Linked DNA regions of Mus musculus. The protein of the gene in region 1 interacts with the protein of each later gene in a pairwise test. Links are inferred from orthologs where the notes say so. Each region holds a gene or a part of one and is shown in the gene's direction. Other genes may lie near its edges. The genes, in order: Rabac1, Ric8a, Wdyhv1, Spg21, Dusp12, Nudt18 and Syt16.

Region 1 (4,277 bases):
AGACGATCCTGGGAGGGAGGAGTTGCATGGGCCAAGACCTCTCCTGGGACACCCACATACTCTGCTTCAATCACCTAGCACCAGGAAGGAGCATCCGCTTTGACAGAGGGACTCAGCACAGGACAGAAGTGGGGGAGGCCCCTTGAAGTCATGCAGCCGGCATTATGATCAAGGTCTCGAGTTCCTGTTAATATCTTCTGGCTTTTTCCCAGTGCCACTTGCTCTGGGAAGCACAGGAAAGAGCTCAGAGCCAAGTCCCATCTCCCACAGCCTTCTCGGATGTCTCCTACTACCTACTGACTCAAAACCCATCTAACGTGAGCCTCCTCCCTCAGGAACCTGAAAGTACCCCCTGCCTCATCACATCTCTACCTCAGGGTCCTCGCTTCCACTGTCCCAAAGGACTCCTTTCCCAGCTTCCAGACACCTATCCTAAAAATCCCAGTATTCAAATTTCTTACATTCTTTGAATTAGTTTGCCACTTTCTGCAACAGTGTTGCCTCTGGATCCCACTGCCTTCTCCACTGCCTTCTCCCGAAGCCCCGACTCCCACCAGGGCAGCAGAGACTTGAGGGTCATGAAATAGAAAGAATTTGCTTAGTCCTCTTAAAGAAACTGAATTGGTTCCCATAGCAGTCAAACCCAGCTGACTTTTGCCGCCAAACTGGTTTCCAAGGTTCTCTGTCTTTTCCAGTACTCTGGCCTTGTGGTGTCCCTCTTTAGTCTTTAGGCTAACTGTACATTTGCAGTCCTCCACTGATCTGAAGCAATGCTGGACCCCAAGTGGGAAACCCAGACACAATTTCCTGCTGAGTGGCCCATACTGAAATCCCAACCCGGAGGAGTTCCGTTCCCAGCACCCATGATTTCTAGACAGCTCATAATTGCCTGTAACTCCAGTTCCAGGAGCTCTAAAACCCTCTTCTGGTGGCACACACGCATAAACATATAAAAGTAAATCTTTTCTTTTAAAATGCAAACATTTATTTTTAAATCATGTGTATCTGAGTGTGGGTATGTGCACATGAGTATGTCTGATTGGCTAGAGCTGGAGTTTCGGGCAGTTGTGAAGCACTGGGTGTGGATGCTGGGAACCAAGCTATGATCCTTTGAAAGAGAAACAAGTAAGCCATCTCTCCTGTCTCACTTTCAAAGTAAATACTTTTAGGAAAGAAAAAGTAAATGAACTCTTTCCCAGACTTGCCCAGTTAGAATCAGAATATCTGAGTTTTCGAACAATGTTTTATTAAGCTCTCTCGAGCCAGAACGACAGCTCTGCACGGTCCACGGAAGTACGTTTCTGCCATTCGAACTCCCACAAAATCCTCTGTCCTGACAGTCCACCTGCTGTAGTCCACGCTGAGCCTCCTGAAACTACAATTCCCACAATGCCTAGAGGCTCCCGACGAGCTCTTAGCATACATCTCCCAAGATGTCTTGCGAGGCAAACCTGCCTCTTGACGCCACGATGACTACAACACCCACAATGCTTGGAGGAACAACTACCGCCCTCTAGAGCTCCCAACGACGCCACTTCCAAAGAGTCCCGGCTGGGGTGGGGCCGCCTAGGTGCTGCTGGGCTCCGGGCTATTTACAGCGGTTCTATCCACTGCAGTGCAGACATGGCGGCCCAGAAGGACCAGCAGAAGGATGCCGAAGGGGAAGGGCTGAGCGCCACGTGAGCAAGCAGGGTGTTACCCCCAGATCCGAGATGCAGGAGTCCCTCATCTCCTCAGAGGTCCTGGGAGGGACTCAGTCCTGTTGGCTCCCTCTCAGGACCCTTCCTCCTAGGGGTTCAAGGTCATGCTTGGGACCAGGTGTGCTAGAATCTGGGGTCCAGATTCTACCCTCTCCCTCCCTTCAGCTGCTCTGCTCTGCCCTGCCCATTAGGACCCTGCTGCCCAAGCTGATTCCATCCGGCGCAGGCCGAGAGTGGCTGGAGCGGCGCCGGGCGACCATCCGGCCCTGGGGCACCTTCGTGGACCAGCAACGTTTCTCGCGACCCCGCAATGTGGGAGAGCTTTGCCAGCGCCTGGTACGCAACGTGGAGTATTATCAAAGCAACTACGTGTTCGTGTTTCTCGGCCTCATCCTGTACTGCGTGTGAGTGCCTCTGCGGCCCCGCCCTCGATAGTCAGACCCCGCCCCCGGCTGCCAGGCCCCGCCCAGACCAGTTAGCCCACTTTGTCACTACAGGACCCGGTCAGTCTGTACTCCTGCATTCACCTGACCAGGATGTGGCCTTCGCTGGCCTAGAAGGACGTAACCTCAGTCTGTGTCCAAAGCTAGAGGGGCCTGGCTGACGCAGCCTCGGATACCTAACTCCTGTCTCCCACACTCTTCCAGGGTGACATCTCCCATGCTGCTGGTGGCTCTGGCTGTCTTCTTTGGCGCCTGTTACATTCTCTATCTGCGCACGTTGCAGTCTAAGCTTGTACTCTTTGGTAAGAAATCTCCTGCCCAAATGGCTCCTCGGGCCTTTCTGATCGTGGTCTCACGGAATGCAAACTTCCGAATAGTTGGGACCCAAGACGGCCCCCACCGAGCTGTCCACTAGAGTCACTTAACTTGGTCTTTAAGGGCTTAGACCCACCAGGTGCTCCCCTCCAGTCTCAGCTTCCCAAACCCAGAGAGACCCCAAAGCCCTGGCACCTCTGTCTCTTGTAAATGACTTAATCCAATTCCACTCAACCCCCCCCCCCCCCCCCCACGGAACGCATCAGCTGCAGATACCCACACTGCACACCAGGTGGCGACCTCATGCAGGCCTAGATCCGTGTTCCTTCCCAAGTCTTGGCCCTGATGATTCTCAGAGGGGAAGGCTGAGATCTGTAAGTCCGGTGGCCCCAGACTGTCACCAGGACCACTGGAAAGAAAGGTGTCAGGGAAGACCCAATGAGGGGAATCCAAAAGTTTCCGAGGAGACTTAAAATAAGTCTTTCATAGCCCAGCAAGCTTAAGGACCAAACAAAGATAGGCTGTGGCAAAGAAATAGACTGAAGCAGGTCAGAACTTGGCTTCTGCAGGTAGTGGTCACTAGGACATACACACTTTTCAGGCATAGGAGAGCGTGGGGCGGGGGTGGAGGAAATTAATATATATGTACTAGGGTTTAAAGAGTGTGTTGCTATGCCCTAGCCTTAAAAAATGTGTAATGCGGGCCCTCTGGAAGAATACGTGCTTTTAACTCCTGAGTCACCTTCTCCAGCCCCCACAAACCAAATTCTCGCAAGGTGCATCAAAGAACACATCCTTAAAACCAGAAGCTGGCCTGTGCCTCTAATCCCAGCACTTGGGAAGCTAAAACAGGAGGATTGCTACAAGTTCAGGATAAGCCTAGCCGGGCGGTGGTGGCGCATGCCTTTGATCCCAGCACTCGGGAGGCAGAGGCAGGCGGATTTCTGAGTTTGAGGCCAGCCTGGTCTACAAAGTGAGTTCCAGGACAGCCAGGGCTACACAGAGAAACCCTGTCAAAAAAAAAAAAAAATCAAAATAAGTGCCTAGAGAGATGGTTCAGCAGTTGAGTACTCAGTTGAGTACTGTTCTTGGTTTGGTTCCAAGCACCCAAGTCAGGTGGGTGCCCATGGCCACCTCCTCATGGGCACCTGATCTTGGGCACGTATGCGTGCAGGGCATATACACACAATTCAAAGAAATAAATCTTAACAAAGGAAAAAAGGGGACAAAAATCCTTAGGTCAGATTTGACTGTGGAGCCACCAGCCTGAGACTCCCGGTGACCAGGGTGGAACATCAGGCCCTAGTCTGAAGTGACCTGAGGGCTCCTGGGAGAGGTGAAGCTAGACAGCAGAGGTGGGGCAGAGGAAGGTTGTTATGGGGACAGGGGGCTTTGGGGAGGCAGGGTAGGGGCCAGGTATGGGAGACACTGATGTGAGGAGTCTGTATTATTACATGGAAGGTTCCAGAGTCTGTGACACTAGATGGGTGGAAAGTGACCCTGGACACTTGTGGGAAAGGGTCGGGTGGGAACGGCTACCTTACACCATCTGTTCCCAGGCCGGGAGGTGAGCCCAGCACATCAGTATGCCCTGGCTGGTGGCGTCTCTTTCCCCTTCTTCTGGCTGGCCGGTGCTGGCTCTGCTGTCTTCTGGGTCCTGGGTGAGTACAGGGTCTGTGTAGGGTGAGGCTGGGAGCCAGGCGAAAGAGCACAGCCTGAACCACCCATCCCCCTACAGGAGCCACGCTGGTACTCATAGGCTCCCACGCTGCCTTCCACCAGATGGAGCCTGCAGATGGCGAGGAGCTGCAGATGGAAC
Region 2 (4,138 bases), about 120 Mb from region 1:
CGGCTTGGGTTCCAAGGCAGCGCCAGGCGAAATCCGGCCCTGTTTTTCCAGGGATACGTAAGCGCCACCCCACGCAGGTCCTTCCACCGAGAAACGAGCGATGTCTCCAGCTCCAGACTTAGACTTCCCCTCCTACCTCTACTGCCTTTCAAGTGCTCTCACCTCGAGTCCAATCTGCCATCGCGCCCTCCAGGGTCCCACTCAGGGAATTCGCAGCACAGCAACGGACGTGGCACCAGTACCCGGGTCTTCCGGTTCCGCCTCCGGGCTAATAACTTCCGGGAGAAGGTTCTGAAGCGGAAGAAACAGACCTGGAGTGCTTCTCGGGAATGTAAATAAGGGAAGGGCGGGCCACCAGCATTCGGACCCACGGATTGGTCAGCAATATTAGTCCTGCGCTGTGGGTGTTACTCGGAGCAGGTGTTCAGACCCAAATTTGGAGCAGAGGCTAGGAACCAGCTCAGTAAATCAGTCGGATGCCTCTGGCGCTGCTAAATCCAACTGGATGGGGAGGACAGGCAGACCCGAAAGAGACTGGTGAAGGAGACGGCCGGGGCCTGCCACTGAGTAGGGGCAGAGCCGGTTAGCACGGCGGGTGACATCATCCACTGGAGCACTGTTTGTATGTGTCACTGTGGGGCACCGACTCAGCTAAGTGGCGTGCGGACCTGGCTCCCCGCTACACAGCGCTCCTACGCTTCTAACCTCAGACACGCCTCGGCTGGCCGCCCCTCCGTTGCTCCTCTCGCGGGAGTGGCTTTTCCACGGGTGTTCTTCACTTCCTTCTCTGCAATTTTCTTGAGAATAACCGTATTACTTTGGTGGCTATTCTTTTTAGATAGGTCTGCTAGTTTCTGCCTCTCGAGTGCTGGGATTTAAGAAGGCGTGCGTCACTATGCCCGGCTAACCACGTGCATTATTTTGACCATCCAAGTCGTTGTACTTCTCTTTCCCTATTCCCTATGGAAGATGAGCTCCAAGGCCTGGATCGCGAGAATCGTCTTCCCCAACTGATTAAGCGGCCAGGAGCCGGCGCTCCCTTTTTTATCACAGTACGGGGACAAGAGCGTAAAGAGGACGGTCCACGCGCGGGCCAAGCCACACCCCACTCCCCACCCTCCCATCCCACCCCACCCCCCGCCTGCCAGGAACTCGGGCTAGAGAGGAGGGCTCAAAAGGAGGACACTGCCTGGCTGGTTAGCTAGCATCGCCGCTCCAAGACTAGCCGCTCAGCGACCACAGCCGGGTTGCTCCACCTTAAGTCGGAGGCGCCTGTACACACCCTTGGGTTCGGCTGCTCTCCCAGCATCCCTCACGCGTGGACGCCGGGCTTCCGGACCTGGGCGGAGCCCCGGGGTTTGGCCGATTGCGTCTTCCCAGCCCAAGCCTTCCAGCACCCGGTGCCAGGGGCCATGGAGCCCCGGGCAGTTGCGGATGCCTTGGAGACCGGAGAGGAAGATGCGGTGACAGAAGCTCTGCGGTCGTTCAACCGGGAGGTGAGAGGCATCCGGCTGCCGAGGAAATTTCAGGAAGAGAGGAAGCAGGGGTGTGCGCGCAACTCGGCTGGGGTGTGCGTGCGAGTGGTGGCAGGGAGCACGGCGGTGGGTGGTGGGCTGGTCCCTCGGGTGGCTCTGTGGTGGCGTGTGGTGGGGCAGGTGTATGGGAGGCTAGGGTGGGCCTTGCCTTAAGGTTCAGAGCGATGGATGCTGCTTCAGAGGTCTGCTCTGACTCGAGGAGCACGGGTCCTACCTGCATGTGGATCTGAGCCTCCTGGGTCTCCCTGCAGCATTCTCAGAGCTTCACCTTCGATGATGCCCAGCAGGAGGACAGGAAGGTAGGTGTCAGCCCCAAGGGCTCCTAGGGCAGGCACGGGCTGACCCCAAGAAGAGGGCCTAGTGGAACCACTTTTGTTCGACCCCACAGAGACTCGCAAAGCTACTGGTCTCCGTCCTGGAGCAGGGCTTGTCACCAAAGCACCGTGTCACCTGGCTGCAGACTATCCGAATCCTATCCCGAGACCGCAGCTGCCTGGACTCATTTGCCAGCCGCCAGAGCTTACATGCACTAGCCTGCTATGCTGACATTACCGTCTCAGAGGAACCCATCCCACAGTCCCCAGACATGGATGTCCTCCTCGAGTCTCTCAAATGCCTGTGTAATCTTGTGCTCAGCAGTCCAACAGCACAGATGCTAGCAGCAGAGGCTCGCCTGGTGGTGAGGCTAGCGGAGCGTGTGGGACTGTACCGCAAGAGGAGCTATCCCCACGAAGTCCAGTTCTTTGACTTGAGGCTCCTTTTCCTGCTAACAGCCCTTCGCACGGATGTGCGCCAGCAACTGTTTCAGGAGCTGCACGGTGTACGCCTGCTGACTGATGCGCTGGAACTAACACTGGGCGTGGCCCCCAAAGAAAACCCTCCGGTGATGCTTCCAGCCCAAGAGACGGAGAGGGCCATGGAGATCCTCAAAGTGCTCTTTAATATCACCTTTGACTCTGTCAAGAGGGAAGTTGATGAGGTAGGTTGGAAGTCTTGGCTGAGACTCAGTTCGGGTGGGACAGTTTGCTTCCCTTTGTACCTCAGCTTGCAGGGTATCAGATATGGCGAGGACTAGAGGATGGTGTAGGCGGGAACTCAGGGAAGGTGCCTGAGCCGCACTGTGCATGGGGTTGCAGGTGGGTATTCTCCACAGTGCTTCAGGTGGCCAAAAGCACCACATGTGCTGTGCACAGCGTCTAGGGATCAACTCCATGTGGCCACAAGAACAGGGGTTCGATCTCACAGGAGCCCCTTTCTGTCTTTGGTTAGGAAGATGCTGCCCTTTACCGGTACCTGGGGACTCTTCTGCGGCACTGCGTGATGGTTGAAGCTGCTGGGGACCGCACAGAGGAGTTCCACGGGTGAGGGGTAGGGCTCACAATGTTGGGGACGGCAAGAGTTCCTAGGTATGGGTACAGAAGTCCTTAACCCTAGTTGTGAATCAGAAGCACTTGGGGGCCCAGGCCCCACCTTTGACTTCATCAGGGGAATGGGGCACCAGTGTTGTTTCCAGAGAGCCTAGGTAACTCAGGTATGGCTAAGAGAAGAGCTATGAACTTAGAGACAGGGCCTTAGGCGGAGGCAGTATGGTCTCTTGCTGGTGCCTCTGCTCATCTCAGGTTCGAGAGATTGTTTGGCATCTCAGCTCAGACATAATGGCCCAGATAGCGTCTGCAGAATCTCCCCACCAAATTTGAGTTGGGGTACCACCTGCCCTTGCCTATAGTCTATTGCTTTCAGTGCAACCCTTCGAGCCCATCCATGTGTACCCCAGGAGAAGGGCCAGGGAGTGTATCTGTGCTAAATATAATTACTGTGTCGAGGCCTCTGTGTGTCTGTCCCCAGCCACACGGTGAATCTCCTGGGGAACTTGCCCCTCAAGTGTTTGGATGTGCTTCTGGCCCTGGAGCTCCACGAAGGATCCTTAGAGTTCATGGGAGTTAACATGGATGTGATCAGTGCCCTCCTCGCCTTCCTAGAGAAACGTCTGCACCAGGTAGGACTGGGGGCCTGCTACGTGGACACCCAGGGGCTCGGGCACCTGTTGTGACTGCTGTTTCTGAACCATTGGTACTGGCGAGTAGAACTCAGCTTGACGATATATCGTGGACAGTTGCTCTGACTGCTCTGTGGTGCAGCTAGACGGTGGCCGCTCAGTCAGGCCCTCGCAGAAGCCTGCAGATACACTGTGTGTGTGAGCCCTCCTGCTGCTGATTACCAGAGGAGAGCAAGCTTCTCGGGTCCCAAGGTGAAAGGTAGCCCTTAGGTCTCTGTGGCTCTGCTAAGTGGTTCTCAGAAGCCTTTAGTTCCCGCTTCCAACCGTCAGGCTCCTCGTGTTTCTATACATGGGCAGCCAGAGGCGACATTGTCCCTCTGCATTTTTTTGGTTTTGTTTTGTTTTGTTTTGTTTTCAAGACAGGGTTTCTCTGTGTAACTCTGGCTGTCCTGGAACTCACTCTGTAGACCAGGCTGGCCTCAGACTCACAGAGATCTGTCTGCCTCTGTCCCCTGAGTGCTGGGATTAAAGATGTGTACCGATACCACCGTCACCCCACCCCCACCCCCCAGCTGTCCCTCTGCATCTTAAAGAGGCATAACCACAA
Region 3 (4,152 bases), on another chromosome or scaffold:
AGAAGGCCATTGCTGTCCACACACAACTGCAAGCAGGCTTCCCCAAGTTCTGGTGTCTGTCCAGAGCTGACTCCACTGGAGGGCAGGATGATCACACAACTAGCTCTGGTCCCTTCTAGAAACTGCAGGGATCCTCTTTCCCTTGCAATCTCTTTCCATCCTTCTACTGAGAAAGCTTAACTTCACACTCACTTTGTACTAACCAAGAGAGGCTTCATGACTGCCACTCCCTGCCTCCCAGCCTCTGTTGAAGGGAGTATTCAAGCTGAAACAATAAATTGGTAACAGACACAAACACATGTTTAGTTTGTAGGATTTATGGGTTTTGGACAGCAGCTGAAGTTCACCAGAATACCACCAGCACAGCACTTTATGGGGTTGGGGTCTCAGAAGGCTGAGAGTCTGTGGGTGGCCTATAATCTAATCTTAAGAAGTCCAGCGTTTGCAGGGAGGTTCTCTGAGCACTTAAGGCACACACAGGAGACTGGGATGTCTATAGAGACAGTTCTCTATGTCTTTAATTCACTATGCATAAACACTGTTTTAGCAATTTGGTGTCTTCTCTTTTGAAAATAAATATGATTAACACAAAATGCTATCCAGACTCTTTAAATCTTTTTTTTTTTAAAAGAAAAATTCTTTTGTAGTCTAGGATCACCTTGCATTAGAAGCAATCCTCCTGCTTCAGTCTCCTGCATGCAAGGACTTTAGGTGTCTGTCACCACACCTGGTTAAAACTTTTTTTCTTTAAAATACACACACACACACGGAGAGGGAGAGAGATCCAGATGAGAAGAAATTAAATTACAATATGGTGAGATCTGGGTGCACTGCACTAACACCCCCCCCCCCCCCCCCCGTTCGCCTTTCTTTCTCAGTTCCTGCTCTAAAGGTTCAGCTTTCGTGCGTGCCCAAGCATCTCTTAGTTTAGAGTTTCTTCTGGTTTCACACAGCGGGCAACCTTAGCTGGAGTTTTAAGTGTATCCGGAAGCTCATATCTAAACACTGGCAACAACACAAGCAATCCCTCCATGGGAGGGCGACTAGGTCTACGCAGCGTAGCTCAAGAACAGGTTCGGTTTGGGGTCCGGGTGGTGGGGGGGGCGGGGCGAGAGGGAAGCCTCTAAGTGCATCCCGCTCTGCCACAGGCTCCACCCACCACGCAAAACCTGGCAAGAACTACACAGTTCAAGTCATCCTAAGATTCGCATTCCCAGCCCCCTCTCCACCAGCCTCGCCCCACCCCCACCCCCCTCAGATCCCACTCATTCTCTCAGGCCCCGCCCACCCGGAACCACGCAGGCTTCGTCATCCCGGGCTCCGCCCTCACGCTGCACGGGGCCCCGCCCACCCGGCTCTCGGCTCTCCCACCCGGAAACTGTCCTGGCCGCCTACTCTGTTGTCCTCTCCTCCTGGGAGACTGGCGACAATTGCGGCCAGCGGGTTGTTTAGTTGACCTGTGAGCCACAGCTTCGGGTCATGGAGGGGGACGGCCCCGCCGCCACGGCCCCGCAGTACCAGCCGGTCTGTCCTACGCGGGACGCATGTGTCTACAACAGCTGCTATTGGTGAGAGAGCGCGGGCGCGGACCCCGGGAATCTGCGCGGTTTCGCGCGCCGCCACCAATGCGCCCCTCTCCTGGATGCTCCCCTGAGTGCTGCTGCTGGCCTACACTGCCCGGGTTTAGCGCCGGGATGAGGAGGGTGGGGAACGCATTTCTGGTCTCCTTAGCTGAGCCTGAGCAGTGGGGTGAAGTCGGGGCGTCTTAGTGCATAGGGACAAGGGAGGGAGGGGAGTTAGGCTGGAGACCCAATGGTAACTGTTGAAGTCTGCATTGATTCAGGTTGAAGTATACGTCTTTATAATTTTAAAGACAATGGAGACACAGAATTTGTGGTAGTAGGAAATCCAGTTCAGGCAACTGGCTACCCTGATTACCTTACTGGCATTACCTTACTGGCCATATGATAATGGTTGCATTTGCACCATCCTTGCCATATGCTAGGCATTGTTTTGCGTGCATGGTGTAAATTAACTCAGTTGAACCTCACAGTAATCCCAAGAGGTAGGTACTGGTGTGATTGCAGCTTGGAAGAACTCTGAGGTACTGAAGGGTGTGCTGCTGTTTTACACAAGGCCCCGGGATTGTGAGGTTAGTGTCCTAGGCTGCTTGTGCAAACACCGTTCACCTTGCCTTTTTTGTCCCTAGGCCTCATCTTCCTTTTGTGTAGGGACTGCTATCCCAACTCAGGAGAAACCTCAGGATCATTTAAATAGACTCCTCTCAACTCTAGCTGGTCACTCAAACAAGGACTCTAAGAACTTAGCATTCAGCTGTGACTGACCAGTGACCACTTTAGCTCAAGTCCAAGTGCTTGCCCTGGTTCTCAATCTTCCAGGGCTGTGACCCTTTAATACAGATCTTCTTGTTGTGGTGACCCACAGCTGTAAAAACTTCGTTGCTATTTCACAACTAATTTTGCTACTGTTAAGAATCGTAGTGTAAATATCTGATATTCAACGCCATGACCCACAGATTGAGAACAGGGGGTGGTAGAGCGATGTCTTGGAGACAGGTTCTGTGGTAATTATTGACACTACAAAGGCTGAACTATAGAATGGTTGTGGTTTGTCCCAGACCACACAACTAAGTGGAATGAGATCTGGAGTCTACATGGTGGTTGGGAGTCCTTCTTTTTTAGCTGTTGCATTATAGATCTGCTCCGCCTGGTTTCCAAATCCTGCTAGTTTTTATCTGGAACATTTACTCTGTGTCTTCCATTTATTTAGTAAATATTTCGTAGGGATGTGAAATGTATGTTGGTTGATTCTATGCACAGAGGATAGAGCAGTAAACAAGGTAGATAAATTTCCTGGCAGTGCCAAGGACTGGCCTCAGCTGGGACCGGGTTTCTGAAAGAAGGGGTGTTTGGGAGCAGTGAAAACTACTTGAAGTCAAATTGTTGGTCCATGCTGGTGGTCTATGTTCCGCTGATGTGGCTTTCTAGACTGCTCTCTCTGTGTCTGCTTGAGACAGCTTTTTCTTGCTATTCTGAAAACTTTTTGGTTGAAACAGCTAGCTTTCTGCTCAAGACAGCTCTCTCTGCTATTAAAAGTTCTAAAAGCTCTTTGGATAGCTCATGGGTTTGCTGACCAAGTCAGAAATCCTGTTAGAAATACTCAAAAAGTAATTCTTGGGTTTTCTGATCAAAATCAGAAAGCCAGAAAAAAAATTCTAAAAGAGCTGTGTTCACTCTTCTGCCAGCTTTTTCTGTTTAGCTGCTAGGAGACATGCTAACAGAGCTGTGTCAGTAAATCTTATTAGAGAAAATTCTAAAAGAGCTAAGAAAAGATCTGAAAGAGCTGTGGTCGCCCTCCTTACATTGTCCCACCATGTTCCAAATCCTGTTAGAAAAAAATTCTTAGCCGGGCTTGGTGGCGCACGCCTTTGATCCCTGCACTTGGGAGGCAGAGGCAGGCGGATTTCTGAGTTCAAGGCCAGCCTGGTCTACAGAGTTCCAGGACAGCCAGGGCTACTGAGAGAAACCCTGGGAGGGTGTGGGGGAGGGCGGGAAGAAAGAAAGAAAAAAGAAAATTCTTGAAGAGCTGTTCTCAACCTCCAGGTTCCCCTTTGATTATCCTATGAATCCTGTGACCCCAGGCCCTTAATTCTTAGGAGACTACAAGCAGATTTTCTCCCCCTTTTTTTAGCATTGTAAAAGAATTCAGAGATCTGGCTGCTTTTGTAAATTTAGCTAGTTGGGACCTTGTCCGGAGATTACCATTCTGACCACTCCTGGACCTAAATTTGATCTGTTCCAGGCTTGAACTCAGAAATCTGTGTCATATAGAGTAGCTGCCTCTTGTCTATTTAGATCTGTGAAACTCCTTATACAATTCATATTGCATCCTTATGTTTTTGCATAGTTGAGAAATTATATATTTTCAAACTCATGTATTTAGAGCTCTTTCCCACAGCCTTAAGGGCTGTCCTGAGGGTCACAGTATTTACCATTTTGCTGAGACATTAGCCACACCTTCGTTTTCTGGACTCATGCTGTCTCAGATTCTCATGGAGTCATTGATGTTAACTGGGAGGAGGGCATTCCTCTGAGGAGTGTGAAAAAATGTCCATAATTATACAAGCAAGCA
Region 4 (4,102 bases), on another chromosome or scaffold:
GACTCCTGAGCCATAGATCAGTGTTTGGTTGTTTTGTGGTTTTGTTTTTGTTTTTTTGAGTCATTGTTTTCGTCTGTGCTCTCTAGGCCTGGAGAGATGGTTTGGTGGTTAACAAACTTACTGCTCTTCCAGAGGACCAAAGCTGAGTTCCTAGTACCCAGTCAGGCTTGATCCATCTTAATCATCTGCAGTTCCAGCTCCAGGGGGTCCAAAGCTGGCCTCAGCAGGCATCAACACACACACGTACACACACACACACACACACGCACACACACACGTACAGGCACACGCACACACACACACGCACACGTACATGCACAGGCACAGGGACACGCACACACACACACACACACGTGGGGGCTGAGAGATTGCTCAGAGGTTAAGAATACATATTACTTTTACACCCGTGTTAGGCAACTCACAAACACTTGTAATGCCAGCTCTAGGATCCTCCTCTGCCCTCCTTATAAACTACACTCATGTGCACCATATATTCTCTCTCCCACAAACACACACACGATTAAAAGTAATAATAATAAAAAATATTTTTAAAAGTCCCTAAAACATTAGGATCTTGCTTTAGGAACCTTACAAATTTTCAAACAAGATTGACAGGTCACTCAATATTATTATGCATTATTTCAGAGCAAAGCTGTAAGCTAACTGAAAGGTGTTGTGGCATCTGCCACATCTCTCGTAAGAACAGTGACTAGACTGTGCCTGACAGAAGAGGGCAAACCAGCGCTGAGTATACCCCCTCAACATCAGCACAAAGCCATAAAAGGAGACAAGGCTTTGAAAGGAGGTCAGAGGACAGCGTCTATACAAAAGGTAAAAACAATTTTGCTGAGAAAGCATATGCAGTTGGGAGGCTGAAGGGGAATGGGACATGGGAGGCAGAGACTAAGGGAGGGTGATGATCCAAATTCTTTATATAGGTATCAAAATGTCCTAATTAAGCCATTGTAATGAACTGATATATACTAATGTTTTAAAAAGACTATGTCAAGGCCTATTCACCAAAGCTATGGACCAAAAGTGTCTCCCCACCAAAGCATGAAGACGCCTAAAAACCGAAGTCAGAAGCACATCCCCGGGGCCTACAGCCTAGATTTTTCACTTCCTCCTCCATGCTCCTGTCAGAAGTGACCAAGAACTGACCCTTATCCACCACCAGCCTCCACAGCCTCTAGGACACCGCAAATCTCAGAACAGGGCCTCCCTTGCCAGCCCCGTCGCCATAGTAACCACCAGAGCCCCGCCCCTTCCTCGCCATCTGGTCCCGCCTCCTCGGAACCCGGAAGCGGGAGGCGCGCCCGGGGAGCTCGCAGTACCAAAGCTGGGAGGCGGTGGCCTCTGGCTGCTCGGCCGCGCGCCCCCTCTGCCCGCTGCTCCCGCGGGGCTCCTGATCTGCGGCCGCCGGTCCAGTCCGCGCCCCGCCGACTCCATCCTCTGCGCCCAAATCGGGGCGAAGATCCGTCTAGGCTGGAAAGAAAGGGACGCGGGAGCGGCCACGGCAGGTGAGGGGCAGGCCCTGGAAAGCAAGAGTGTGGGTGTGTGGTGCGTGTAGGGTTGTAGGTGGGCGTGTATCGAGCATGCGTGACTTACGAGCAGAGTTCACGAGTGGGCAGGTCCTTGTGACCATGCACGTGATCCATATCTCTGTGTGTGCGTGTGGTGCGCTCTCGCGGGCGCCTGTGTGTGTCCGATTGTGCCTGTGGGTCTGTCTAAGGTTCAGCCTCGGTTCATTGCGGATTGTTGTTGTTTCTGAACTGGTGGAACCCAGGGCGGCCCCTATGGCGATTGGTGCCCAAAATCCTTAGTCAGACATCCTCATTTTCTTGAGCCACCCATCCTGGGGCAGAAATTCAGGAGCATTTTGGTTTCAGTCAACTTTTAAGGGCTGCGAGTAGAGTTGTTTTAAAGATCCTACCTCAGACTAGGTGTGAGGCCTGTGAAAGAGTCATGAAGAGTGTAGCAGGGCGAGAGAAACCCCCCCCCCCTTTTTTCTTCTTTTCCCAGGGAGTTAGAAGTTAGGGGCTGATGTTGTTTTGTCTCCATCTGCAGTGGTCTAGCTTCTCTTTTTGCAAGGATTCTGCACATTGGGAAGCCGTCTAATAGCTGTGTATGAGTTTTCAAAAAGATTTTACACCAGAACCTTGAAACGAGTGGTCAGAGAGAAAGATGTGCGGGCAGCGTCTCCTCTCATGATATTTAGAGAGAAGTGGATAGGTTCCTGGAGAAAGGATAAATCTTACCTGAAGAAATCTCCAAAAAGATGGCTATTTAATACATATAGGTGTGGTGAAGGATGAAGATGTGTAGTGAACAGCCCGCCGCAGGGCCTTAGGTGTAGTTCAGTGGTAAAAGCCCATGGTGAGCGTTCCCCAACACCGAGAACCATAGTTATGTCACCTAGAGGCTCTCTAGTTCTAATAACCTTTTTAATTGGTTGTATTAACAACCACAGATTGTCCCTATATAAGACACCTATACATTGAGATAAAGGACCAGCAATATGTGACTGACCGTGTGTTAAACATTTGTAGAGGCGATTTCCTCAGCTATGAACTGCAGGTTCTGTTGAAACTCTGAAGGCCAAGTACATGCTCTCTCACAACTAGCCAACTTACTGTCCAGCAACGCAAGGTCCAAGAAGAGCTGGGGAGCCTTAGCATCCTGGCCAGCGGGAGGAGGGGTTTCCTTGATAAAGCTTATCTCTGCCTCTTTCCTCACCAGCCTGAACAGGTGCTTCTGTTTTTTGTAAAGAACAGAGTCACGAGAAAGCAAATCTGTCCTGAACACACTGCCCATGTTTCTTTTCATCCTGACCAGTTTGGTCACAGTCTCAGCTAACTTTCTGGGCCACAGATTTTTTTTTTTTTTTTTTTTTTTTTTTTTTTTTAAGAATGTTTCTCTTGTGACTTGGAAAAGCATCCGGCTTAAGTGGATGAAAGAGAGCTAGAACAAACTTTCCTTTTCATACCCTTCACAGCTGCTTTAGCTTTGCAGCAGGTTTTTTTTTTTTTTTTTCTTCCTAGCCGTCAGCTGGTCCTACGCAACATTTGGCAACATTTGGTAACTGTCTCACCTTTCCTCACCACCCAACCAGCACAAGTGTTAGAATCACCTGTCCTTGCAAAAGTGTCCTCACAGCTGTGTAGGAACTCTTATGCATCAAGATTAGTTACAATGTGGTCAGTACTGAGCTGCTTGTGAGTTATACTGAAGACCCGGTAAGGACTACCCTTCGGCCACTGTGGGAAAGAAGTAGGTAGCTCATTTGTGTGCCTGCCTGTGTGCTTGTACCTAGTTTGGTTTGTGAGTGGCATCTTATTAAAACTGTGGATAATTTTTTTTTTTTTTGTAAGTTGGTCGATCCTAGAAGTAAACTTTAACAAGTTGATTGATGTTTTAGCTTTGTGTGTTTGAGACAGGGTCTTACTATTACTGCATAGCTCTGGCTGGCCTGGAACTCACTATGTAGACCAGGATGGCCTTGAACTCCCAGAGAGCTAGCTGTCCGCCCCTGAGGGCTAGGATTAAAGATGTGTGCCATCACACCTGGCTGTTTAGCCTGTCTTTAATATTCCCTCCTGCAGACATTCTAGAAAATGTTTCCAGTTGGAAGTGCACAGATGCTGTGGTGGTATTTCAAGTCTGTCCTGATATAAAATATTCCAGGATTAACTGTATATGCCGCTAGTTGCTTTTATTTTAAAGTAATAACTTAAAGGGAGACAGGAGAGTTAAATTAACTAAAATGTACTACATAAATGTATGAAGCTATCAAATAAAGCAGTTTTAAATGGTGAAAGATGTGCTAAAAATGGTTTAAATGGCTTAGTTTTTTTTTTTGTTTTTTAATTAGATGTTTTCTTTATTTACATTTTAAATGCTATCCCCTCTCCAAAAATCACCTATACCCTCCCCCTGCTCCCCAACCCACCCACTCCTACTTCCTGGCCCTGAAATTTCCCTATACTGGGGCATAGACTCTTCGAAAGACCTAGGTCCTCTCCTCCCATTGATGGCGGACTAGGCCATTCTCTGCTACATATGCAGCTAGAGACACGAGCTCTGGGGGTACTGGTTAGTTCAT
Region 5 (3,955 bases), on another chromosome or scaffold:
ATAGAGAACTAAGATCAATGGAGAGCTAAGATCAATAGAGGAGACTTTTTTGCCTTTCCCCACTTAGACTAGATTCTTTTCCCTTTCCCCACTTAGAGAATTTTTCCCTTTACCCACTCAGGATCTTTCTGCTTTTCCCCTTAGATAGCTTTCATAGGAAACTTTTTACAACTTGGTAATAAACTCTATAATTATTTATCTAAGTGTCTTCTCTTCCTGAGACCGGACTAGCAGGCTGAAAGTTAGAGCCCAGCAGTTCCTGCTGAGATAGACATATCTATCTATCTCTCTTGTGGCTTGAAGAAGAGGTGCTAGTTGCCAGAAACTGTAGTTTCTGGCCTCAGAGGATCACAGAAGGCAGATCAGCTACAACAGCACGGTAACTTAGGCTTAGATAAGTAAACGCTTTATTATACAGCATCCCTAAATATCTCAACAAAGTCCTACCCTCCGCCTAAGCTCTTCCCTCTCTACCCCAAAAGCCTCAAGAAGAACATCCCACTCCAGAGCTGCCCCCATCTCTCCCTCTCCCTCCCTCCCTCACTTCTCTTTCTGCCGCCACCTCCCTCCCATCCCCCAATAAAATTCTTACACGTGGAACTGTTTGGGCCCAGTGTACTGTGTTCAGACTCGAGCCTCTATTTTAACACATCAGTTATCACAGCTAATATCCACATATAAGCTTATACATACCAGATTTGTCTTTCAGGGTCTGGGTTACCTCACTCAGAATGATTTTTTTTTCCCGAGTTTCATCCATTTATCTGCAAATTTTATTTTTTTTTTTTAAAATGGCTGAGTAATACCTTATTGTGTGAATGTACCACATTTTCTTTATTCAGTCTTCTGTTGTACATCTAGGTTGTTTCCAATTTCTGGCTATTATGAGGCATCAATAGGCAACATGGTTGGGCAAATGTCTCAAATGGTAGGAAGAGTGGCTTTGCTGGATCTTGAGATAGATTCCCATTTTCCTGAGGAACCTCCAAGCTGATTTCCATAGTGACTGTACAAGTTTGTGGTCCTACCAGCAACGGATGAATGGAGACTTTATTTTTCTGCCTTGGACTTTAGAAGGTTGGGTGGAAAAGCTGCTCTAAATGGAGCTTATTTAAGCACACAGCCCGAGCACGGCTCACATCACCTTCCCCAGAAGCAGTCATTTTCCCTATTGCCATGGTCCTCCCACGGCGCTGCTGAGCGGCTGGAGCTATTCCGACACAGGAGTCAGTCACTCTAGCCGGTGACTTGGTGGCGGGCAGCGGCTGCCTGGCTTCCTGGCTCTGCCATGTTGGAAGCGCAGGGTTCTAACCATGGCTGCGAGCGCCAGGCTCCGACTGCCAGTCCCGCCAGCTCGGCAGGGCACGCCGTGGAAGTGCGGCCCGGGCTGTATCTGGGTGGGGCAGCGGCAGTGGCGGAACCGGGCCATCTGAGGGAGGCGGGCATCACCGCCGTGCTGACGGTGGACTCTGAACCGGCTTTCCCGGCTGGGGCTGGGTTCGAAGGTCTCCGGAGCCTCTTCGTGCCGGCGCTGGACAAACCCGAGACCGACCTGCTCAGCCACCTGGATCGCTGCGTGGCCTTCATCGGCCAGGCTCGCTCCGAAGGCCGCGCGGTGTTGGTGCACTGGTGAGTGCCACGTGCAGGGGGGCGGTGCCTTGCACCGGGTCTCGCCTCTCTGCAGAGGCGCCCAAAAGTGGAGGTTCCAGGCTGTCAGAGCCAAGACCCTCGTTCCTCATCTTCCCTTGGGGTGTGTGGTTCCAATGAGGGTTCCAAAACCCGCCCTTGGTTAGTGTTTTGTTTGATTTCATCTTGCAGCAACTGTCTGTCTGTCTGTGCATCCATCTATCCGTCCATTCGTCCATCGTTCTATCTGCTTGTCTATATTTTGGGGGTTAGGTTAAAGTTTATCAGATTTGTAAGAGAAGTCAGACACTCAAGCCGGCGAATGTAATACAGGTCAGATGTATTGGGGTGAAAATACGTGATACTTCCTCGCCCTAAAGGCCACTGTGATTAACAAGGGAAAAACATGTGACTTTTTGTTTTTTGAGACTGGGTCTTACTGTATAGATCTGGCAGGCCTGGAACTCGCTATGTAGAGCAGGCTGGCTTCAAAAAGCACAGATGTCCACCTGCTTCTGTCCAGAGGGCTGCACACCTTGAGTGTGAAACCATGCTGGAGGATTTTTAATCAAAGTTATACGTGACGGGCAAGTTTAGAGAAACATTCACGGACCAAAGGAAAACTGTACTGACTGGTTTTGTGAGTCAACTTGATACAGGCTGGAGTTATCACAGAGAAAGGAGCTTCAGTTGGGGAAGTGCCTCCATGAGATCCAGCTGTGGGGCATTTTCTCAATTAGTGATCAAGGTCCCACCCACCTGGGCTGGTAGTCTTGGGTTCTATAAGAAAGCAAGCCAGGGAAAGCAAGCCAGTAAGGAACATCCCTCCATGGCCTCTGCATCAGCTCCTGCTTCCTGACCTGCTTGGGTTCCAGTCCCGACTTCCTTGGTGATGAACAGCAGCATGGAAGTGTAAGCTGAATAAACCCTTTCCTCCCCAACTTGCTTCTTGGTCATGATGTTTGTGCAGGAATAGAAACCCTGACTAAGACAAAAACGGTTCACATTCTTGGAATAATTAAGACTGGACAGTTGTATAGAAAAGTGATTGAGGCTGGGCGGTGGTGGCGCACGCCTTTAATCCCAGCACTGGGGAGGCAGAGGCAGAGGCAGGCGGACTTCTGAGTTCGAGGCCAGCCTGGTCTACAAAGTGAGTTCCAGGACAGCCAGGGCTATACAGAGAAACCCTGCCTCGGAAACAAAAACAAACCAAAAAACCAAAAATGAAATAAAATAAAAAATAAAGAAAGAAAAAAAAAAGAGGTTGGACAAGAGGAGTGTGACATAATGCTTAGCGAATGAGCCAGGAAAGTCAGCCTGACCTGTATTGAGCTGTTTCTTCTGGTGTATAGGCAAAGCCCTTTCTGGAATTATTGTCTTAGGATATATCAGACTAAATAGATCCGAGAATTGATTTGTCTTGCTAGCATGTTAGGCAAACATTCTGTTACTGTGGCGGCATAGCCCTAATCTTAAGAGAATGCCTTTGTGGCGGGTTCTTAGTAAGGTGGAGGAAAGTTAGAGTGATATTTTTCTCTCCATATTTTTGTTGTTTTTGTTTTTGAGATGGAAGGTTTGCTGTGTAGTCCAGACAGTCTCTTAAGCTTGCGGTCCTCCTGCATCTGCCTCCTAGTGCTGGTGTTATTACACATAAGCTACTTACGACTTCTGGAGTTTGTGCTTAGGATTGAAGAAGAGGTCTTCTAACCTCTCTGTCTTGCCCTAGGGTGAGTGGGGAGAGAGAGAAGCAAAAGCACGAATACTGAGATCTGGAGAGACTCCAACGTTAAGAGCAAAGGACCTTGGACCTTGGATTTGTCCTGTAGCCACTACATTTTTTTTTTTTTAAATGTACACAGAACGGTCAAAAAGTGTGGTTAGCTACTAAGCCCAACCTGATAGATCACAGGCTCTGATTCTTTCTCCCAGAAATCAGGTCATCCCTCAGCCCCCTGCAGCTCTCTGGGGCAGGAAGTTGACAGATGTCAGTTGTGACCTTACTCTCTTACAGGCCTCTTTCTCCCATCAGCACCTGTGAGCCTGACTAGGTCAGCACTACCCCCTTGCCCCCAGTCTCCAGATAACATTGATTTATAACTCTACTTTTATATAGTGTACTTCTGCCTTATGACTCTTGGCTTGGAGGCCAGCCTGGATAGGTCACCTATTGTGGAGCTTGCCTCCCTCCAAGGAAACAGTAAGAGTCAGAAATTCCACTTGTCTCCTGGAACTGAAGTCTCTTTCTCTTTGGAAACATATAAACATACATTCACACCCATACGTATATATATAGTCATATAAATATAACATATCTATGTAGTATATAGTT
Region 6 (4,004 bases), on another chromosome or scaffold:
ACTATGGCTTTGAGACCCTACCTGGAGAACAGGTGGGCTGCCTGGTGACGGTGTTCAGATAGTGCATGGCTTCTCCCAAGCTCTCTTGGCTTCTCAACAAGTATGGAAAAGGAGGGCTGTTACAGACCTACTGTACAGATGAGGACATTGAGGCCACCCAGGGCACAGAGCACGTCAGTCAGCAGAGGCTGGATGTCTGGCTTTTAAACTCCAGAGCTTTGTCAGTACCATCAAGCCACTGTCCCCCAAAGGAGGTACACAGAGCCAGCAGTGGGGGAGGAAAGGGAAGTCTGGGATGGGGTGAGGAGCCCAGACTTGGCCTGCTTTGTGGATTCCTCTCAGCTGGCCCTGCCTTCCTGTCCTGAGTGGAGGTTAAAGAAGCTCAGAGGAAGAAAGGTCAGGCTGGGAGAGAAGCAGGAGCTGGCCAAAACAACCCACACCCTGTTCCTCATGACCAGGCCCTGGACGCTGGGTAGGAGGGCACCACCCCTGCCCTCTAAAGATGGAGTCTGTTTCAGAAGCCTGGGAAAAGCATTGGGCACAGGATCGGATGCAGGCTACAGTGCTGACTTCAATCTCCCTTTCATTCATCCCCCCCCCCCTTAGCTTCTTCTCATCCCCAGCCTTGTCCCACCTTGACCACCTGTCCCATCCCTCCTCTGAGGCTTGTCAATCACGTTCCCCATCCCCCACCCCACCCCCAAACCAATCCTTTAGCCTCGGACTCTTAAAATGCCCTGTGTCCATCGACCTAGACAGATCAGAATTTCTAACGCAACGTTATGTGCCTGAGCCATACCACATTCAGAGCATTTTAACGAAGTCAGAAAGTTATTTGGGGCCTATTCGTCGTGAGCACTTCTGTGGTTCGTTTATGATAAAAGCTGGACAGTGGGAGCGAACGGCGGAGTCTGGGCTTCCGTAATGTCATCGGACGAGTGACGCCATCGACCCTGGTCACAGTGGTGTTCATCACCCTACAGGCAGGATGACATCACCGTCGGAACCCGCGCGGACAAGTGCGTGCTGGGTGAATTAGCTAATCGCTAGGGAGAGTGTGAAGTGAGGCTGAAACCCAGGAGAGGAGGGGGCAGAGGGAGGATCCCGGCGCCCCGCCCTCCCGATAACCGCTGCGAGCTGGCCAATCCGGGCAGGCCGCAGTGACGCGCAGCCTATCAGCGACCAGGTCTCTCCCGGAGGTTCCGTGTTAGTCTTGGCCCTCAAGTCAGGGGAGGGGGCGAGGGCGCCGCGGCCCACCGCAGCTCAGGTCCCGGCCGCTTGCCTCCGGGGGTCTGGCAGGTCCCGGCTTGCCACCTCCCCGGAGACTTGATGGCCACGGAGGGCCTGGCAGGGGCGCTTGCCACCGTGCTGGGGGGAAAGGGGTTGCTGGTGCAGAGCTGTGACTCGGAGCCGGCTGGGAAGCCGCTGTTTCCCGTGCGGCTGCGGAAGAATGTCTGCTACGTGGTGCTGGCCGTGTTCCTCAACGAGCAGGTGAGCGTCCGACCGGCCGCTGGCCTTCGGCTGGTCTCGGGAGCGTGCCGCCTGCCCTGATCTGAACAGGCGAGCCAACGGCCGCTGCCTGTATGTGGCGCTTCCCAATGTTGCAAAGCACTCTCAACACTAGCAGCTGAGCTGAGATCGTCCTTCTGTAGACTCTATAATATGGAAGGAGAAGCCGAGGTCCCGGGGCGGTTTATCTCATCCACTAGACCTCGCCCCCCACCAGGAGAGGCCTGTAATATGCCCCCTTCCTTTCCAGGAGTCTAGACTCTCCCGGCGCCTCGGGAGAGTAATGGGGAGCTTACATGCAGGCCTCCGATCCTGTGAGAGTTCTTTTTAGTGATCACTTCTGCACAAGTCAGCGTTATAAAATCCTGGCCAAGAAGGGGTAGGTTGGTATAGGGGTGGAGCTAAGTTTCAAAGCCTCAGACCCTAGATTGAGGACTTGACACAGGCGGTTTGTAAGTCCCATGGGAACAAGAGCAAGACAGTGGCATAAATGAGTCAGTATAGGAGTGGTGGCAACCTTCAGGAGGAAGCCTCCTAGAGCAACGCCCAAGGTCCTCAGCCCCTTTCTACAACAGAAGTCCCTCTGGGTTTGAGTTACAGCAAAGCGGAGACAGCCACTGCTTTCAGCCATATCAGGGCCTGACTCCTGAGGATCCAGCATCCTAAAGGTGTCTGTCTACCAAGAAGGGAGCTTTGGGCTGCCATCCAGGTAGGGGCTACTCTTCTGAAGCCCCCAGACTGGCTGGGTAGGAGTGAAGATTGTCTCACTTCCCTCCCTCCCAGGATGAGGTGTTGATGATACAGGAGGCCAAGAGGGAATGCCGGGGGACATGGTACCTCCCTGCAGGAAGAATGGAACCAGGAGAAACCATCGTGGAGGCCATGCAGCGGGAGGTGAAGGAGGAGGCAGGGCTGCTCTGTGAGCCAGTGACACTGCTGTCCGTGGAGGAGAGGGGCGCCTCCTGGATCCGCTTTGTGTTCCTCGCTCGACCAACAGGTATCCCCCACCTAGTGACATTTCTCACGGTCCCTCATCCATAGCCAGCCATACTGTGGGCTTCTGCTTATGGCCATTGACCTACTACGGGCTAAGAGCTTTTGGGGGTCTCTCTCTCTCTGGAGTGTTGGGGTGGCCATTTACTCTCTCAGGCTCAACCCTTCTCATACTGGCCCTCTTCCCACCCCACCCCCCAAATCTCTCCTAGGCGGAGTTCTCAAGACTTCCAAAGATGCTGATTCTGAGTCCCTCCAGGCCGGCTGGTACCCACGGGTCTCCCTGCCCACACCGCTTAGAGCCCATGATGTTCTGCACCTGGTAGAGCTAGGCGCCAAATTCTGCCAACAAGCCATGCACCCTCTCATTCTGCCTCAAGAGCTCCCCTGCAGTGTGGTCTGCCAACGGCTGGTGACCACCTTCACAACAGTCCAGTCGGTGTGGGTGTTGGTGGGCACGGTGGGGACACCTCACTTGCCCATCACTGCCTGTGGCTTTACCCCTATGGAACAAAGGGGCGGCATCAAGGTGGCCATCTTGAGGCTCCTACAGGAGTGTCTGACTCTGCACAGTTTGGCAGTGGAGACCAAGGGGTTGCTTGGGTTGCAACACCTAGGCAGAGACCATGTGGATGGTGTCTGCCTGAATGTGCTGGTGACCGTGGCTTTTCGGAACCCAGGAATCCAAGACGAGCCCCCAAAGATTCGGGGTGAAAACTACTTTTGGTGGAAGGTATTAGAGGAAGATTTACAAAAACTGCTTCTGTACAGACTCCAGGAATCTTCTGTGATCCCCCTGAGCAGATAGAGAGATTCCAGCAGGGACCAAAAGCTGAGCTGCCCCCTCCCTCTGAGGCAGAGAAAAGGCTGGCAGTCAGGGATCTCATTGCACATTTTGAGGGGGCAGGGACCACACATTGAGCCCAAAGGGAGGGTGTCTTGAATCCACTTTTCAAGGGCTCAGTTCTGAGGGCACACAGTACTTGTCTTTTAAGTTGGTGAGGAACTTTTTGAACCCTAAATGGCACCATCTTTGTCCACTTTGGAAAAGGCTGCATGTCAATCCTTCCAACCCCATAGGAATGTAGAGAGGGATGGGACATGGGGGACGCATCCCTCAGGGCAGAGTCCTCATTGCTGAGTAAAAAGGTATTGCTTAACCTGCCTGCTTGCCTAAATGTCTGTGTGGGGAGGATATGGGGCACTGTCCCACCCACAGTCACCCAGGTCTTTCCTCACCGTGTACACACTGATGCTATGCAGGGATGTAAGGATCCTGAGGCAGACATCGATGCTCGCTGAAGCCTCGACCCACCCAGGCTCTTTTTAGTGTTCCTGTCCTGTCAGGGCGGGCGTGGGACTTTGAAGTGACCACACCCCTAATAAAAGCACAGCTCAGACCTGTCCAGGTGTTGAACGGTTCGGTCTGGTGAAACTGCCTAGGGAACAAGAAAGAGCTGAGGATGACACGTTGGCCTCTGCCAGTCTTTTTCTCTTTGAGC
Region 7 (3,977 bases), on another chromosome or scaffold:
AAAATGAAAGCCGCAGCCAGCAGAATGTGGATGCGGTTCACCCTCATCGTGCTGACTCCCTCACCTACATCCTGTGGACTGATCAGAGAGGACCCTTTTGTTGTTTTCCGGTATTTTCCTTTGCCCACCTGGTCAGACGGCAACTGTTTCTGATTCTGCTTTGCACCTGAATTCTGTTGGTGCCCAGCGATGCCTGAGATGACGCCCACTGGCATCCTTACTGTTTGGGTTAAATGAGTGGCCTCAAGCCGACCAAAGGCATCGTGCCTGCACAAACAACAACGAAAAACAAAAACCCAATGCCTTCCCGTGCTTAGGCTTTGAGTTTGAGCCACTTGATGCTTCCCCATGTGGTGGTGGTTTCTCATTTGCTACTGGTCCCTAAATATAGCAAGGATCTTTCAGTAATTGGTTTATAGCATTCAACAAGATGTACTGCGAACAAACGCCCACAGGTGGACTCATTTCAAAGTCCTTTTAACCGCGATGGTCCTTGAGGCAATACTGATTGCTTTTCTCGTGGAGCTGGTCCTTTAATACAAGTCATCGGAGCCGCCTGTGGTCTGGCTCGCAATTATCCACTCGTTAGTCACCCATCCTGTTCACATCTAATTAGTTAATTGGCCATTTATTCACTAACTCATTAATTCACGCAGGTTTCCAGTTAGAGTCCTCCATTAAGTCGCTTAATAGAGATCTGATAGCCTACTACACACAAGGCTCTATTTTCACCTTGGAGACAAAACAAGAGGATGAGAGGAGTCTTGGTCCTCACACACAGGAGGCACCTGTGTGATCCTTGCTTCTCTCTCCCCCACCTGCTCCCTGCTTTGCTCCTTTGAGCTAGGGCTCAGGGTCGACATTGCTGGAAAGAAGCACCAGGCCCGGATGAATTGAAAAAAGCAAGGCAGGATACCAAGTGTTTGTTCAGCGGGAGAATAGAGCGGGCAAGAAACCTGGAGAGGAGCGGGCCAGGTTGCTAGCTGCTTTGTCTTAGGGAGGGATGATGCTACGGGCTGGGCAGGGCAGGTTCGGTGGCGGTCGGCTCCGCTAGGGTGTGGGGACGCTGGCGGGGGCGACCCAGCTGGCAGCCACCACGGGGCTCGGGGCGGCGCGACGGGGGCGCGCGGCGGGAGCGTCTGTGCGCGTCGCGGCCCTCGAGCGCGCGGGGCCTGTCGAGAACGCGCGCGGCCGGGCGCGGCGTGGGTACCCCAGCCGCGGGCGGCCGCCCTGCAACCCCCCGACGCGACCATGGCGACTGACAGTAAGTGCGGGGTTCCCCGGGGGCGGGGGCAAGGCATCCGGGGTGGCAAGTTCTCCTCCCGCGCGCGCCTGCCTTTGTGCCCAGCTCGCGGGGGCAGCGACCGGGTACCCCATCTCCGGAGCCCGCCCTTGTTACCGTGCCCATCACCTGCTATGGCTGACAGGACTGGATAGGGTTGGGGATCCGAGGACCTCTCAGGAGGGATGCAGCACCCGACTGGAGGGGACACTTGATGCTTGAAGGCAGCAGGGCTGGGCCTCGCAGCCCTTTGGGGACTGCCTCCAGGCCCACAGCCAGTTTTTAGGGAGCCCAGTATTGGGGCGCTGTGAGTTCAAGGTTTTCCTGGAGTTCTGGGTCAGATTGGCACGCCCTCTTCCTGGTGGGTGGCCCCACTGGGCTCTGTTCTGGGGCTCTGAAGCCACAGACCTTGCCTGGCTGCCATGGAGAGTGAATGAAAGGGGCGTGCAGAGAAGGAAGGTTGACACCGAAGACTGGAAGAGTTGCAAGGCTTCAGGCTGGCCTGCTGTTGGCATCTTGGAGTCTTTGCTGCTGTTTTTGGAAATTAGGGTTACCGCTAAGAAAACTGGTTACATGTAGCTGTAGCTTGACCTGTTAGTGGAACCTCAAAAGGAGTGCAGAGTAAAATAAGTCACAACACTTGTCTTAGACTTAGCATCTAAAGTCCTCAGCAAAAGTCATGGCACACAGTAGGGACTTCATTCACTGAATGTACCATGTGATTACAGACAATAATAAGGCAATTTTGAGAGATGAGAGGGGACAAAATAGGTGTTGAGGGTCAAAATTTCATTATTTTTTCCTTCAAACTTATCATTATTCAGTCAAGAACACAGCTTGCATACAGTACAGAGGATGCACAGTTTCGAGTTAAAAGCTATGATGACATTTTTATATCCCAAGTCCCTCAGTAGTGGGATTGTGGCCCTGTTCCCAACCTTAAAACTGTGGCTGTTGGATTTAAAGGCTCAAGTCAGTAATCCCAGGACTTGAGCGGCTGAGGCAGGAGGATATCAAGTTACAAACCCTGTTTCAAAAAAAGTATATGTATGTGTAGATTATGTGTATACACATGCGTAGTGAGCCTGCCATACCCGGGAAAGTGATGGGTATCTATCTCATAAGTAGTAGGCATGCAAGAGAAATGGACATGTGTGTGGTTGCTCACTCATCTCCCATTCGCCATCATTTCGTTTGTGTGGCGACACCAATGGACCCTCTCTGCTTTCTGTAGATCAGGGGGTGGCACAAAATTAACTACTAGAGACAACCCTTTTTGCTCTCAGCTCTGCTTCTATGGACAAAAGTATACACATTAGGTAGGTCTAGGGGGAAGAAGCTATACATTTAGATTTTTATTAACAAAGAAACAATTGCACTTGCCCTTATTTGTGTAAATGGTAACTAAAGAGTTCCAGCGATACAGAATTTCTATCTTCAGTTCTTCAGGTAAGGGGATGTCAGGTGAGAGGCAGGGGGACGGGGAACACCATCACACAGTGAGGAGATGGCCTCACTAAGATGCATCAAACCTGGGTACAATCTGCCTCGATGTTGCCTGATTGCTTTTGTTTCGGGGTTCTCGCCTCCTTACATTTCTCCTTGAGGGAAAACCCAGCTGTAAAGCCAGGCAGAGGGCAGCCTGTTGTGCTCTGTCGTTCTTGGAAGGGATCCCAAGGAAGCTTCTCTGTGATTATAGCTTGTGAGTATAGGTAGGACACAGAGGTATTTATATATATATTTGTCTGGAAAACAGTCTTTACACACAAAAAGGATGAGAACTCGGAGAGACTGTCCTGTGTCCAGACGCAAAGTCATAGATTGAAGGGCAGTTTCAAGAGAAGTTGGGATACTCAGTTGGTTTCCAGTAAGTTATTATGAAATGGTTACGCGCCTAGGTGTGCGTTGTAAATGGTGCTACTCAGAGGTATTTTGAGCTATGTTTGAGGTAATGGGTAATTTTGTTCCAAGTAGTTTCTATTTGTCTTTCCTGTGTGGCATTTGTTGCATTATCAATACTTTTTATCAAGGATCTTCACTTTTGAATCACTGTTGCCTGGTTGTTTTGAAGGTGCCTTTTTATATGTGCATGCTCATGAGTGCACATGGGGGGTGTGTGTCTATAATCTATCTTTAAGCATGCATTTTCTCAAGGGGCTGGAGAGATTGCACTTCAACTAAGTGTGTATTCTGCTCTTCTCAAGGATCCAAGTTTAACTTCCAGCATACATTTTGGGTGGCTCACAGTCACCTGTAACTCCAACTCCAGGGGTTTCAACACCCTTGTCTGGTCTCTGAGGGTCTCTGAAAATACCCCCTCATAAACACACAGACACATATAATTTTCAAAAATAAATCTTTAAAAAAGAAAAACATTCAAGACACATTGTATGAAAGTCTTGAGTAAATAGAATATTACTAAAAAAAAAAAAAAAGAAATAAAAAGAGTAAACTCTCCAGGACAGCAGGCATGCTTTGAGTGGTTGGAGATAGCTAACTGAAGTGTGCCCCCAGAAGTCTCGGGCAATCCTTGGGCTGCTGGATCTCCAGAGGTGTTGCAGTAAGTATTCTGTATCTTAAGGAGTTTCTCTGGATTGCTTGGGTTGTTCCTGGTCCATTGCATGGATGCTCATGAGTCACCGTTGCCTGGTCCATTTAGAAGCCGATTGCTGCTAACCCACAGGCAGGCAGTCTC

What was found.
Region 2: the proteins of Rabac1 (region 1) and Ric8a interact in binary tests that used the Homo sapiens proteins (3 or more experiments, as listed by UniProt). The link is inferred for Mus musculus from reciprocal best matches to the Homo sapiens genes RABAC1 and RIC8A.
Region 3: the proteins of Rabac1 (region 1) and Wdyhv1 interact in binary tests that used the Homo sapiens proteins (3 or more experiments, as listed by UniProt). The two-hybrid records come from large-scale screens. The link is inferred for Mus musculus from reciprocal best matches to the Homo sapiens genes RABAC1 and NTAQ1.
Region 4: the proteins of Rabac1 (region 1) and Spg21 interact in binary tests that used the Homo sapiens proteins (3 or more experiments, as listed by UniProt). The two-hybrid records come from large-scale screens. The link is inferred for Mus musculus from reciprocal best matches to the Homo sapiens genes RABAC1 and SPG21.
Region 5: the proteins of Rabac1 (region 1) and Dusp12 interact in binary tests that used the Homo sapiens proteins (3 or more experiments, as listed by UniProt). The two-hybrid records come from large-scale screens. The link is inferred for Mus musculus from reciprocal best matches to the Homo sapiens genes RABAC1 and DUSP12.
Region 6: the proteins of Rabac1 (region 1) and Nudt18 interact in binary tests that used the Homo sapiens proteins (3 or more experiments, as listed by UniProt). The two-hybrid records come from large-scale screens. The link is inferred for Mus musculus from reciprocal best matches to the Homo sapiens genes RABAC1 and NUDT18.
Region 7: the proteins of Rabac1 (region 1) and Syt16 interact in binary tests that used the Homo sapiens proteins (3 or more experiments, as listed by UniProt). The link is inferred for Mus musculus from reciprocal best matches to the Homo sapiens genes RABAC1 and SYT16.

Annotation. Positions count from the first base shown.
Region 1 is NC_000073.6:24,969,929-24,974,205, reverse strand, and holds the start of Rabac1 (prenylated Rab acceptor protein 1), read left to right. Parts: upstream 1-1,477; 5' UTR 1,478-1,623; coding exon 1,624-1,679; intron 1,680-1,891; coding exon 1,892-2,104; intron 2,105-2,347; coding exon 2,348-2,445; intron 2,446-4,017; coding exon 4,018-4,119; intron 4,120-4,130; exon of another isoform or gene 4,131-4,196; coding exon 4,197-4,277. UniProt on the Homo sapiens protein: General Rab protein regulator required for vesicle formation from the Golgi complex. May control vesicle docking and fusion by mediating the action of Rab GTPases to the SNARE complexes.
Region 2 is NC_000073.6:140,856,059-140,860,196, forward strand, and holds the start of Ric8a (synembryn-A), read left to right. Parts: upstream 1-1,338; 5' UTR 1,339-1,412; coding exon 1,413-1,496; intron 1,497-1,786; coding exon 1,787-1,834; intron 1,835-1,923; coding exon 1,924-2,514; intron 2,515-2,804; coding exon 2,805-2,896; intron 2,897-3,380; coding exon 3,381-3,531; intron 3,532-4,138. Other genes in the region: Bet1l (BET1-like protein), read right to left, coding at 163-181.
Region 3 is NC_000081.6:58,140,014-58,144,165, forward strand, and holds the start of Wdyhv1 (protein N-terminal glutamine amidohydrolase), read left to right. Parts: upstream 1-1,352; 5' UTR 1,353-1,479; coding exon 1,480-1,568; intron 1,569-3,194; exon of another isoform or gene 3,195-3,256; intron 3,257-4,152. UniProt on the Homo sapiens protein: Mediates the side-chain deamidation of N-terminal glutamine residues to glutamate, an important step in N-end rule pathway of protein degradation.
Region 4 is NC_000075.6:65,459,635-65,463,736, forward strand, and holds the start of Spg21 (maspardin), read left to right. Parts: upstream 1-1,302; 5' UTR 1,303-1,520; intron 1,521-3,066; exon of another isoform or gene 3,067-3,270; intron 3,271-4,102. UniProt on the Homo sapiens protein: May play a role as a negative regulatory factor in CD4-dependent T-cell activation.
Region 5 is NC_000067.6:170,882,741-170,886,695, reverse strand, and holds the start of Dusp12 (dual specificity protein phosphatase 12), read left to right. Parts: upstream 1-1,155; 5' UTR 1,156-1,288; coding exon 1,289-1,629; intron 1,630-3,955. UniProt on the Homo sapiens protein: Dual specificity phosphatase; can dephosphorylate both phosphotyrosine and phosphoserine or phosphothreonine residues. Can dephosphorylate glucokinase (in vitro).
Region 6 is NC_000080.6:70,576,620-70,580,623, forward strand, and holds the start of Nudt18 (8-oxo-dGDP phosphatase NUDT18), read left to right. Parts: upstream 1-1,204; 5' UTR 1,205-1,329; coding exon 1,330-1,491; exon of another isoform or gene 1,492-1,888; intron 1,889-2,292; coding exon 2,293-2,506; intron 2,507-2,714; coding exon 2,715-3,310; 3' UTR 3,311-4,004. UniProt on the Homo sapiens protein: Mediates the hydrolysis of oxidized nucleoside diphosphate derivatives. Hydrolyzes 8-oxo-7,8-dihydroguanine (8-oxo-Gua)-containing deoxyribo- and ribonucleoside diphosphates to the monophosphates. Hydrolyzes 8-oxo-dGDP and 8-oxo-GDP with the same efficiencies.
Region 7 is NC_000078.6:73,996,600-74,000,576, forward strand, and holds the start of Syt16 (synaptotagmin-16), read left to right. Parts: upstream 1-1,177; 5' UTR 1,178-1,251; coding exon of another isoform or gene 1,252-1,264; intron 1,265-3,977. UniProt on the Homo sapiens protein: May be involved in the trafficking and exocytosis of secretory vesicles in non-neuronal tissues. Is Ca(2+)-independent.